Linked DNA regions of Diceros bicornis minor. The protein of the gene in region 1 purifies or fractionates together with the protein of each later gene. This does not show direct contact. Links are inferred from orthologs where the notes say so. Each region holds a gene or a part of one and is shown in the gene's direction. Other genes may lie near its edges.

Region 1 (3,745 bases):
GGCTATGAGAGCCATCTGAGAGGTGATGAGGGGTATCCATGATGGGCTCTGTTTCCGGCCCAGGCACCCAGGCGGATGGAGATGCCCTTCTTCATCCTGAGCTGCCTTTGCGACTACCTTCGATAATCACCGCCTCATGCTCCAGGGCACCTGGCCCAAGGTGACTAGGCCTCCTGGGTACAGAGATCCACACGGAGCCATGCCAGGGCCAGATGGGGACTTTGCTGCCCCTGCTTCCTCCGTGGGGGGCTCCAGATAAGCCACCAGTCTTTGGCTCCTGCATCTGACAACCACACACCTCATGCACATTCTCTGGGCATTTCCATTTCAAATGCTCTGTCCTTCTGTTTGCACAGGTTCCTGTGTCGTATTTGGTGTTCCCATTTTTAATTGGGAAATAGGTTGCACGTAATTCTACCCACAGGCCTGGGTTGAGGCCATGGAGCTGCCGAGACCATCACCACTTCCCCAAGTGGGCAGCAGAAGTGGGGCAGCAGGGTGAGAATGCGCGGGACTTAGGGCCAGAACGGTGGCTCCAGGTTCTCCTCATGGCCCTGAGCCCTCCTCTCTGGCGTCCCCTTCCACATTTGTAACTGGAGGTGAGCCTACCTGTCTGTGACATCACCTTGCAGACAGCAGAGCAGCCTGCATGCAGTGACTGTTAGTATTGACTCTCCTTCTTGGGGGGCGCAGGAGAGAAGCAGGTGCGCCCCGCGGGCTCTCTGCGTGGAGGCGGGAAGAGCACCAACCAGGCAGCCGGCCCTGCGGGAGAGCTCGTGGGCGCAGTGCAGGGATTCTGAACCTTTCGGAGCTCAGGTTCCTGGCTTCAAAGTAGAAGGTAAGGACCCCTGTGCAGAGGTGTCCGAGCATTAATTGAGATACTAGGCGCCGAGCACGGCCAGGGCCGGCTAGACGCTCTGCACGCGTTAGCTGCCGCCCATCAGCGAGCGCCACAAGGAAGGAGGGACGCGATCCAGGACATGCCCATCCCAGAAGAAAGGTTAGGGCCCCGCTGCCCCTCCAATCCCGCATAGGAGCGGTGCTCCTCCCCGGAGGCGCCTCGCGGGGCGAGCTCGGGACGTGAACATGCGAGGGGCACGCTAGCCTTTCCTGTAGGTATCATCCTACTTCCGTTTTTAGAAAGTGCAGGACAAGAAGGGGACGCACCGGCCACCTTTGGCGTTCACGCTTTTAAGCAGGAAGCGCGCGCAGCACGCGGTCCCTTTAAGGCGTTGGGCCTGCCCGAGGCATTCTGCCCTTCGCCGCTCCCCGTAGCGCCCCTTCGAGAGGCTGGCTTTGTGCGCTCGCCCCGCCCCGACGCCGCCCCCCCCGGCGCACGCGCACTGCTGGCCCCGCGCCGCCCCGCCCCTGGCGCACGCGCACGCGCACTGCCCGCCCCGACGCCGCCCCGCCCCTGGCGCACGCGCACGCGCACTGCCGGCCCCGCGCCGCCTCGTCGAGCTAAGCCCGGCTCCCGCCCAGGCGGCGGCCGACGCAACGCCCGAGCGCCCGCCCCGCCCGGCGCGCCCGGAGGTAAGGGGGCCGCCCGCCCGGTGGGCACACTCGGGGGCGCGGGGCGGGCCGGCGCCGCCGCACCCCACGCCGCCCCGCCGCCGCACGTGTTGGCGGGCCCGGCCTCGGCCGCGGGCCGGCCCAGCCCCGGGCCCCGTGCGGGCGGACGGCCGCCCCGCCGCCGCCTCGCCTCGGGCGCCGCGCCCCCTCCTCCCGTCGGCCCCGGCCCCGCCCCTGCGGAGCCCGCCCGCACGCGCGGCCGCCCCCCGGCTGCCTCTCCCCGCGGTCGGTGACAAGCGCGAGGCCGGCACGGCGGCTCTGCCCTGCAGCCGGCGTGCCTCTCCGCTGTGCCTCCGCCGCTCCTCCGGGGAAGGACCCCAGGCCCCGGCCCCCCGTGCCTGCAGCCCTGACTGCCCCTCCTCTGCAGAGACGCCGCCACCCGACCTGCTGCCCACCCTCTGCCCGAGGCAGCCAGGCCCCCTCGCTCCTGAGGTCCCAGGACGGGGTCCCCGCGTGCCGGTCCGCTGTCACGAAGGGAGAGACCATCTCCTGTCTGGTCTGCTAGAGCCATTTTGAGGGAGGTGAAAGACTCCCTCTCTCCCTCCCTCCTAGCCTTCTCACCCGGTTTCTGCCCCCCAGGTCCGTTCACCGAAGCCCTGGCAGGTGCTGTGGTCGACACTGCCTCTGAGGTTGGCCCGCCCCGCACAAGGCAGATAGGTAAGCTGGAACGGAAGCGTGTCTGCGTGTCCCAGAACCGAGGCAGGGAGAGCCAGGTTCCCCCACTCTCTGTGGGTCTAAGGGGCTGCCGCCTTTGAGGCACCAGTTACGTCCTGTCTTCCCACACCTGTGGGCCCAGTCTCTGGGGGAGCCCAGGAATCTGCATTTTACAAGCAGTCTAGGAGAGCTCTCCAAGGTTTGGGAGGCTCGGCCTTAGGTGGTCAGGCTCACCTGGGAAAAAGCTGTGGGTGCAAAGAGGTGGCAGGTAGCACGTGCTCTGGGGGCCGACTCCCTATGGCCTTTCCTGCAGCCTGATTGCGTTCATCATCTCCAGTTCTCTTTCCTAAGGAGCTGGTCCCTAACCAGCTTCCCAGTTGTCTCAAAACGATTGTTCTGGGGCCCGCCTGGTGGCGTAGCGGTTAAGTTGGTGGGTTCCGCTTTGGGGGCCCAGGGTTTGCCGGCTTGGATCCTGGGCCCGGTCCTCCTCACTGCTCATCAAGCCATGCTGAGGTGGTGTCCCATGTAGAAGAGCTACAACTCTCCAACTATGATACACAACTATGTAGTGGAGCTTTGGGGAGTAAAAAGAAAAAAAGAGGAAGATTGGCAACAGATGTTAGCACCGGGCCAATCTTCCTCAAAGAAAAAGCAAGAAAAAAAGTATTAACAAAAAAGATTGTTCTACGGAATCATGAGTGTTTATGAAAAATGCCAAGCTCCCCCCTTCTTAAGTAGAAACTTGGAGCATTGAGTTAATTGATTGTATTCTTAAAAGTCTGGCTGATTTTTTGCAAGTTAATGTTTGCTAGCCTGGGATTGGGCTTGAGCTGGGAGGGCTGGGCACCTTTCCTGTAGGACCACGGCTGTAGCCTCTGGTCCTCACCTTGGGGCAGCCAGTTGTTTGCGGGAGTCACACTCCACCTCCTGGTGGGTCTCAATTTTTATGCTAAAAGGAGCTGCACTGGGTCCCCTGAGCTACCCTTTTCACCCCAGAGGAAGCCTCTTCTGTTCCCACTGGTGTTTTGCTTGGCGCCTGTGGTCCACTCTTCTCCACCCTCCTTGCTGTGGCCGGGCTTCTTCACACTGTAGGTTCTGTGAAACAGACTTTCCAGCTTTCTGCCTTAGCTCCTCTCTCCCTCCGCTTGTGCAGCCTACGAAGGGGAAGGCAGCCCTTGGGTTAACTGGCACAGCCCAGTTGCATTAAAGATAATCACCAGTAGCTGGTGGTTACTGAGCCCCAGCTTTGTGCCGACACTTCGTCCCTGGCAGGTTTCCCTGACCTGCCCCTCCGCTCCCCCACTTCAGGACTCGGGCTCTGGGTGCAGCGTGATCCGTCCCTGGGCCTGGAATCCTTGCTGCAGGTAACCAGCCGTGGCCGCACGTGTGCTCTGCACAGCCGTGTTGCATTGTGATGTCTCTTCCTTCCGCTTGGATGAAGGCTTTGAGACATGCTCTTTTTGGATGGCTCCCGTTTCGCCTTGGTGTGACGAGGAGCCTGTGCAAGCTTTCAGTGTTA
Region 2 (3,745 bases), on another chromosome or scaffold:
ATTTTTAATGACCTTGATGCTCTACCAAGCTGATCCTACTAAAAAATAAATGGAAATAAATAAGTGGAAACTGTTACATAGTTAGGCCAAACTACTATAAATACGTGTTGATGAATACCTGAATACCCAGAGAAGAGACAAGCAGAAAACAGTTATCAAAACAGCAAGGGTGGAATGAAAAACATTCCGAACTATTTAAAAATTACTGGCAAGTGAGTGGCAGGTAGTAACACTTCAGTTATATTCTACTTCGATCAGACTATTTGTCTACCAGACAACTCTGATCTAAACAAATACGTGCCTCCAGAAGAACACTTACTTCTCTGTTTACATTTATATCTAAACTAAACATATTAAAAAGAGAAATCACCCTTGTTCCCTTGGGGTCCGTCAAAACGGTAACAGACCCTGAGGCATGAGTCCCCTTTGGGCATTTTCATAATCAACAACAAAAAATAGAATTATATAGTGAGCAGCATGTCCTCCTCACTCGACTGACTTGGGTACTTTAAAATCCACTGTATGGTTAACTATAAATTGTTGTATCGGCTCCATATTGGATATACCCGGGGGAGCATCCGAGCCGTTTCCAGAAGCAAAGACGCTTTGCGCACGGACGCCCTATTTCCGGAAATCACCCGGAAGCCTAGACGCTGTCCCGCCCCACGGCGATCCGGTGAAAGTTCTGGCTCAGCGACGGGGGTGGCGGCAGGACCTACGTCTTTCTTGGAACCGTTTTCTCTAAATTTTCTCAAACCAATAACTGTTTATGAAACACTGTCACTTTTAACGCGTAAAGCCAACTTCTCGCGAGAAGCCAAATCACGCCGGATAGCGTAATTGTGCGTTGCGCCTGCGCGCGCTGGGGCAGTTCGTACTTCCGCGTGAGGCGTGCTGTCACTCACAGCCGCTGGCCGCCTCGCGCAGTGACGTAGTGCTTTCTCCTCCGCTACGTCTGCAGCTCCGCCCAGAGGTTTGTCTCGCTGCGGAGCTGCAGCTTGGCGCTGGGCGCTGCGGGTCCCGGTGAGCTTTCGTGCTGCCCATCCTGGGCCATTTCATTGATAAGCAGTAGCGGATCGCTTTGCTACGAGCCGGGAAGAACAAAGGAATCAGGAAGGAGACGCTCGGCCCGGCCGCCTCGCGCCGAGTTGCTGCTGCTTCCGCTGGCTCCTGTCTGGATAAGCTGGGTTTATAGTCGTCACTCGATTGTAAGTACCCGAGGCGAAGAGAGCTCACTGCGCTCCGCTTTTTGAATATCTTTGTTCCGGGACCTTTTGTGGATTGGGAGTGTCTGCTGGGCCTTACTTTCTGTGCCGAAAATCTTTCTGCAGGAGCCGCCATTTGCTTTCTTGCTAGCTTGCTCTCTCTGCATTGTTCGGCAGCGGCATCTAGAGGTTGGAACTTGGCATTGCAGCTAGTAGATCTAAATGGACCGAACTGAATAAGTCATGGTGTCAGTAACCACTGGTATTCAGGCACAGAATATTTAGAAAGACTTGGGGCTTAATTCAAAATTAAGAGAAAATAGATGCTTAGCTGCTGTACTACCGAGAACTATTTGTAATTAAAGATTTCCATTCATAGCAAACAGGTCTTTCTAACTGCTGCAATAGCTGGAACTTTTTAGTGCAACAAGTGGTTATTGGAGAAGTGAGTCTGAAAGAAATAAAGATGAGTAAGAGCAAAGATGATGCTCCTCACGAACTAGAAAGCCAGTTTATCTTACGGCTACCTCCAGAATATGCCTCTACTGTGAGGCGGGCAGTACAGTCTGGTCATGTCAACCTGAAGGACAGACTGACAATTGAGCTACACCCTGATGGGCGTCATGGAATCGTCAGAGTGGACCGGGTCCCACTGGCCTCCAAATTGGTAGATCTGCCGTGTGTTATGGAAAGTCTGAAAACCATTGATAAAAAAACTTTTTACAAGACAGCTGATATCTGTCAGATGCTTGTCTCCACAGTTGATGGTGATCTGTGCCCTCCTGTGGAGGAACCAGTTGCTACTGCTGATCCCAAAGCAAGCAAGAAAAAGGATAAGGACAAAGAGAAGAAGTTTATATGGAACCATGGAATTACTCTGCCTCTAAAAAATGTCAGAAAGAGAAGGTTCCGGAAGACAGCAAAGAAGAAGTATATTGAATCTCCAGATGTGGAAAAAGAAGTGAAGCGGTTGCTGAGTACAGATGCTGAAGCTGTCAGTACTCGTTGGGAAATAATTGCTGAAGATGAAACAAAAGAAACAGAAAATCAAGGCCTTGATATCTCTTCTCCAGGAATGTCTGGCCACAGGCAGGGCCATGACTCACTAGAACACGATGAGCTTCGGGAGATATTCAATGATCTCAGCAGCAGCAGTGAAGACGAAGATGAGACACAGCATCAGGATGAAGAAGATATAAACATCATTGACACTGAGGAAGATCTGGAAAGACAGCTACAGGACAAGCTAAATGAATCAGATGAACAGCACCAAGAAAATGAGGGAACTAATCCGCTGGTTATGGGAATTCAGAAACAGATTGATAACATGAAAGGCAAGCTCCAGGAGACACAGGACAGGGCAAAGCGACAGGAAGATCTCATCATGAAAGTAGAAAACCTGGCCCTCAAGAACAGGTTTCAGGCTGTGCTGGATGAACTCAAACAAAAGGAAGACCGAGAAAAGGAGCAGCTCAGCTCTTTGCAGGAAGAGCTAGAATCACTCCTAGAGAAGTGAGAAGAGCTTTGATACTGAATTTCATTCCTTAGACTAGTCAACATTAAAGGAAAGTTCTTGGCTTCATCACCTGGACTAGATATTATAATTTTGCAATAGTTCTGATTTCCTCCACTGCCTTCTATTGTGTTTGTTTTATAAACAAATATAAATGTGAATTTCTATTTCATTTGTCTCTCAGAACCACTTTGCTAGGTGTTTGTCCTGTAAAAAGTAGGAATGTATAGACAGATAAGTGATTGTAGGAAAGTTGTAGGGTTAGTGGAATGAACAGTTCAACCTTAGTAATCACAGCCTCACTGCAGGACTTTGCTGCTATTTCTCCATTTGCCAAAAGCTGGTGTTGCTGCTTTGTGGTGACATCTGAGATCAATAAGAGTCTAGTCTGGAAGCAGTGAAGCTAGTTTGCATATGTTTTCCTATGCAGTAGCTATTTTCCTAGCTATTCCAAGCAATTTTCCACATGTAGAGTTGCAAATAGTTTCTTAAAGTTGTTTTAACACAATAAATAAAAGCAACTAATTTTCACCTCATAATGTGTCTTCCTTTTTTAGGGGTAGTGGGTGTGTCAGATCCTCTTATAAGGTGGTTTCTTGGTGGGATTTAATGACTGAGCAATTTGATCGTGTTTTGTAGGGAAAGAAACAGTTATGTTGGGTTTTAGGGAAAACCCAACAGCGGGGGGCAAAGAAATTGGGAAATGTCATCTTTGCATTATATTAAGTTTCCAATCCACCTGCTCCATTTGGAAGTTAGGAAACACTAGGTACAGAACCTTCCTAAACTACCCTAATTTTTGTACATGTAGGTCTATTTTTATCTTTTTTTTTTTTAAGTACTACACATCTGCTTAAAATATTAGAAACAAAACAAAGTAAGGGCTATCAAGTACTGTTCATTGAATCATTCCATTGGTTTGGATTAAGATTGTATTTCTAAATATTTTCAACTTAATTTCTGCAATTATTTAATATTCTGAGAACTGAAGTGATTTGTCCATGTCAGTTGGTCAAAATTGCTCATA
Region 3 (3,745 bases), on another chromosome or scaffold:
CTGACTCCCCCGGCCCCCAAAATCCTCCTGTCTTTAGCAAAAGATGATATTTAAGACAAGAATTTCTGCTATTGTGTTGAGAAACGCAGTGTCCCTGGTTTCTCCCATGTTTACATGTTATTAAAATTGGTATTATTTTCTCCTGCTAACCTGTCTTGTTAATTATTTGGCCAGCCATAAGAACCTAAGGGAAAGGGCAGAGGGGGATTCTCCCTCTTTCCCCAACATTATCAAATAGAAAAACCCTTACAACTAAAAACCCATGGGTTTGTGTTCACCGGCAGGAAGAAGGTGCTGGAGGGATGGGGTTCTAGTCAGCAGGCACACTTGGAGAGTAATAACAGATGCCTAAGGAAAAACAGGATGGGGCTGGGAGAAGAGATACAGGAGGCCCCCGAAGCTCCCTGCTTAGAAGAAATCTGGGCAGGATCATAGCCTGAGAACGAAAAGGGTTGGGAGAGCTTAGGATAAGCAGTTCCACGCACGGTTCGCATTCTCAAATCTATGGGTCTCAACTGCTGCGGGAAACAGGAGAGAGCGCGTCAGGCCTAAATGCCACCGTGGATCGAACGGGCCAGCGCCTCCCTCCCCCGCCGGGGCCTGCTCCGAGCAGGCGCCCAGTCGGCCCTCCCGCCAGGGCAGTCGCGCGGGTCGAACGCCCCACCGCCTTGGACTCCAGGCCCCCGCCCCGGCCCAGACCCCGCGGCCCACGGCGCGCTCCGCCTCCTCCCCGTCGCTTCCGACGCAGCCCGGCCGCGCGAGGGCGCCGGCGCCCGGCGGCGGCCGGAAATGGCCCCTCGCGGCTCCCGTCGCCGGACCTTCGTTGCTATTGTCACCTCCTTTTCCTCCCTTCCCCCGGTTCCCTTTCACTTCCGGGGTTGCTCTGGATCCGCTGGTTCCGTAACAACATCCCGTTGGCTTCCCTTAGGCGGCGGGACCTGTGCAGCCGCCGCCTCCCAGGAGCGCCCGCCCGCGCCCTCCCCGGCCCCAGGCCGCCATGGCCACCAACCCGCAGCCGCAGCCGCCTCCTCCGGCGCCGCCGCCTCCCCCGCCGCAGCCGCAGCCGCCGCCGCCACCACCGGGCCCCGGGGCTGGTCCCGGCGCGGGCGGGGCAGGCGGCGCGGGGGCCGGCGGCGGGGACCCGCAGCTCGTGGCCATGATCGTGAACCACCTCAAGAGCCAGGGGCTCTTCGACCAGTTCCGCAGGGACTGCCTGGCCGACGTGGACACCAAGGTTCGGGCGCGCGGGGCTGCGGGTGTGCGGGGGAAGGGGAGGACCCCGAGGGCCGCCTGCTCGAGCGGTCTCCCGCGCCCGTCGATGGGCCGGCTGCGCCTCGACTTCCCGGCCGGGGCCCCTCTCCAGCGCGCCTCTCCCCGAGTCCCCCGTGCAGCCGCTTCCTCTTCGCGCTGCTGCCCTGTGCCCGGCGCTGTGCAAGGCGCGGTGCGTTCATTCATTCGCCTGTGCGCCCGTTCGCTTAACCGACTAGTGGTGAGCACCTACTACGCTGCCGAGGCGCTGGGAACCTACCGCTGAGCAGGACCAAGTCGTTGTTCCCATGGAGACTCGTTTGGAAACACCAACGCTAACGGTGCTTTCATCTCTGATTAGTTTTCTTCCCGGTTTAGTTTGTATCCAAGTTATTTTTGCCTCCTCTCTTGAAGATTTCTGGGCGGTAAGGGTCATGTCTTTATTCTTTGGAGGAATTATTAAGTGATAATTGAGTCAGATTTGCAATGTGCATTTCTGGACATTGTAGGGATGCAAAGGTAGGGAGGCAGAGCTGGACAGTGGCAAGATGGGTTGGGGAGATCCGGGACTTTTGTTTCTACCAGTAACCGCTTCGTTTAGGTAGCTTAGGCCAAGTTACTCCTCTAAAGTGAGAAGGGAGGGAGAGGTGAGGAGTAGAGACAACTGAGCCATGCCGTGGGGGAAAGGATGGAGGAGAGGTGATAGCAGATATTGAAGTGGAGAAAGGACAGGACATGAAATGGAAGAAGAGTGAGTTGAGAGAGTAAGGGAGAGAGGGGAAAGGTCAGCAAAGTGGTTCCCTTCACAAAACGAGTTAGGGACTGGGAAGGGAAAGGGACTTTGTACCAAATGTCAGAGTGAGAGGGATGTTGGCAGAAACAGGTAAACTTAGCTGGTTTGGCAAAGAATGAGCAGAGGACACCAGGAAGAAGCCATCAGGTGAATTGGATGGAAAACCAGTAGGGTCTGGAATTCTGGAAGCAAGTGAAGCAGGAAGCTTCAGGTGGAAACAGTTGGAAAAGTGGGGGTGTTTTTGGTTTAGATCTGGTTGGATCCATGGAATTGGAGTTTTGATGGGGTGAGAGTTTCCTTGTAGCATGTTCGGCTGTTCTGAGGAGACTTGTTTCTTTGGGAAAGGGTTGTTTGCAACATACGCCGATTCTTCCCTGTGACTGTGTTCACCAGGCTTTGAGGTGAACTGCACAAAATCCCGCTGTCTCCTCTGGGAAAGCCCTCCTGACAATCTGGGGACATCTTCCCTTTTAAGGACTCTGGCCCACCATGTAGAACAGAAGTAAAATTTGCCTTTTCAGCATGTTGGAGTTTTTGCACACGGAGAATTCATTTTACATGGGGATGTTGATCTGTGTAGGAAGTATATAGTTTTCTCACTTTGTTTTAGAGAATATGCACAGCTACCTTTTTGAAAATAACTTTTGGAAAATAAAGAGGCTTGTTGCCTCTTTCTTTTTTTTTTAATGGAAGATTAGATTAGATGTGGCCAGGTAAATATTACCCAAATACACCTGGTTATTTGTATCGGGCAAGTAAAGATTTCATTTTGCTGTTCTCAGAAACCTACAGATCTCTGTTATCACTGTATATGCAAATTGAAAATTTAAATATACTGATGGGGGTGCTGCAGTATCTAAGGTTCAACTTTTTCTTCATCCCCATCCCCACTAAATGTTGTTGTTGTGTGCCAGATCCTCTCAAGGTGGAGCCTTCGAACCTTTCTTGGGAGGAAGGAGGGAAGCACAATTGCTTTGACAATCTGATGAAAGCTAGGACCTTCTCCCAAGAAGAATGCACATATACACATTAAAATGCTGTTTTTATAATTCAAAAATGGTCAACTATAGGCAATTTCATGTGATTCAACCTTATAGTTTCAGGGAATTCAGGGACCGCAGAATAAAGATTCCTTGTTTTAATGTTTGAGGCTAGAGAAGAACAGAACTGAAAGGATACCCCCACCCTGACAGAAGGGGGTGCCTGGGTATGGTTGAGATTGAAGTTCTCTCCTCACTCTTCATGTGTGCTCGCTCTCTCTCTCTCTCTCTCTCTCTCTGTCTCCGTCTCTCTCTCTGTCTCTCTGTCTCTCTCTCGTCTTTCTACCTCTGCACCTGTTGTTTCTGATTTTCTTGCTTCTTTCCCCGTTGACTATCTCCTTTTTCCTCCTCCTTCTCCTCCTGCTTTTCGTCCTCTTAGCTAGCAATTACGTAGATTTCAGTTTAAAATATTTGCTTTTGTTGAGTAGTGCTTTATACTCCTTTTCCTTATCTAAAAAAAAAGAGTAAGTTTGAGAGTCTCAAGAAACATACAAAAACCAAAGTTTTTTTTCATATAAGCTTAACATTCCTATCATTGTGATGAGTGGGCCAGAGTAGAAATAAGATTTCCTATTTGTGCACAGGAGCATCACTTTAATGGAATCCTTGGGTGTCAGCTCTTAAGAACACCTTACAGTTTAGACCTTTTGTGGTATGGTGCTTT

The links.
Region 2: the proteins of WDR5 (region 1) and TAF7 purify together in Homo sapiens (affinity purification with western blotting; 3 studies listed by BioGRID and IntAct, with this or other methods). This does not show direct contact. The link is inferred for Diceros bicornis minor from reciprocal best matches to the Homo sapiens genes WDR5 and TAF7.
Region 3: the proteins of WDR5 (region 1) and BOD1L1 purify together in Homo sapiens (affinity purification with mass spectrometry; 4 studies listed by BioGRID and IntAct, counting the BioPlex papers as one, with this or other methods). This does not show direct contact. The link is inferred for Diceros bicornis minor from reciprocal best matches to the Homo sapiens genes WDR5 and BOD1L1.

What each region holds. Positions count from the first base shown.
Region 1 is NC_080767.1:41,024,701-41,028,445, forward strand, and holds the start of WDR5 (WD repeat-containing protein 5), read left to right. Parts: upstream 1-1,472; 5' UTR 1,473-1,533; intron 1,534-2,151; 5' UTR 2,152-2,229; intron 2,230-3,534; 5' UTR 3,535-3,590; intron 3,591-3,745.
Region 2 is NC_080740.1:59,489,625-59,493,369, reverse strand, and holds TAF7 (transcription initiation factor TFIID subunit 7), read left to right. Parts: upstream 1-963; 5' UTR 964-1,208; intron 1,209-1,331; exon of another isoform or gene 1,332-1,584; 5' UTR 1,585-1,671; coding exon 1,672-2,721; 3' UTR 2,722-3,249; downstream 3,250-3,745. UniProt on the Homo sapiens protein: The TFIID basal transcription factor complex plays a major role in the initiation of RNA polymerase II (Pol II)-dependent transcription.
Region 3 is NC_080747.1:10,457,539-10,461,283, reverse strand, and holds the start of BOD1L1 (biorientation of chromosomes in cell division protein 1-like 1), read left to right. Parts: upstream 1-898; 5' UTR 899-997; coding exon 998-1,234; intron 1,235-1,344; exon of another isoform or gene 1,345-1,556; coding exon of another isoform or gene 1,557-1,673; intron 1,674-3,745. UniProt on the Homo sapiens protein: Component of the fork protection machinery required to protect stalled/damaged replication forks from uncontrolled DNA2-dependent resection.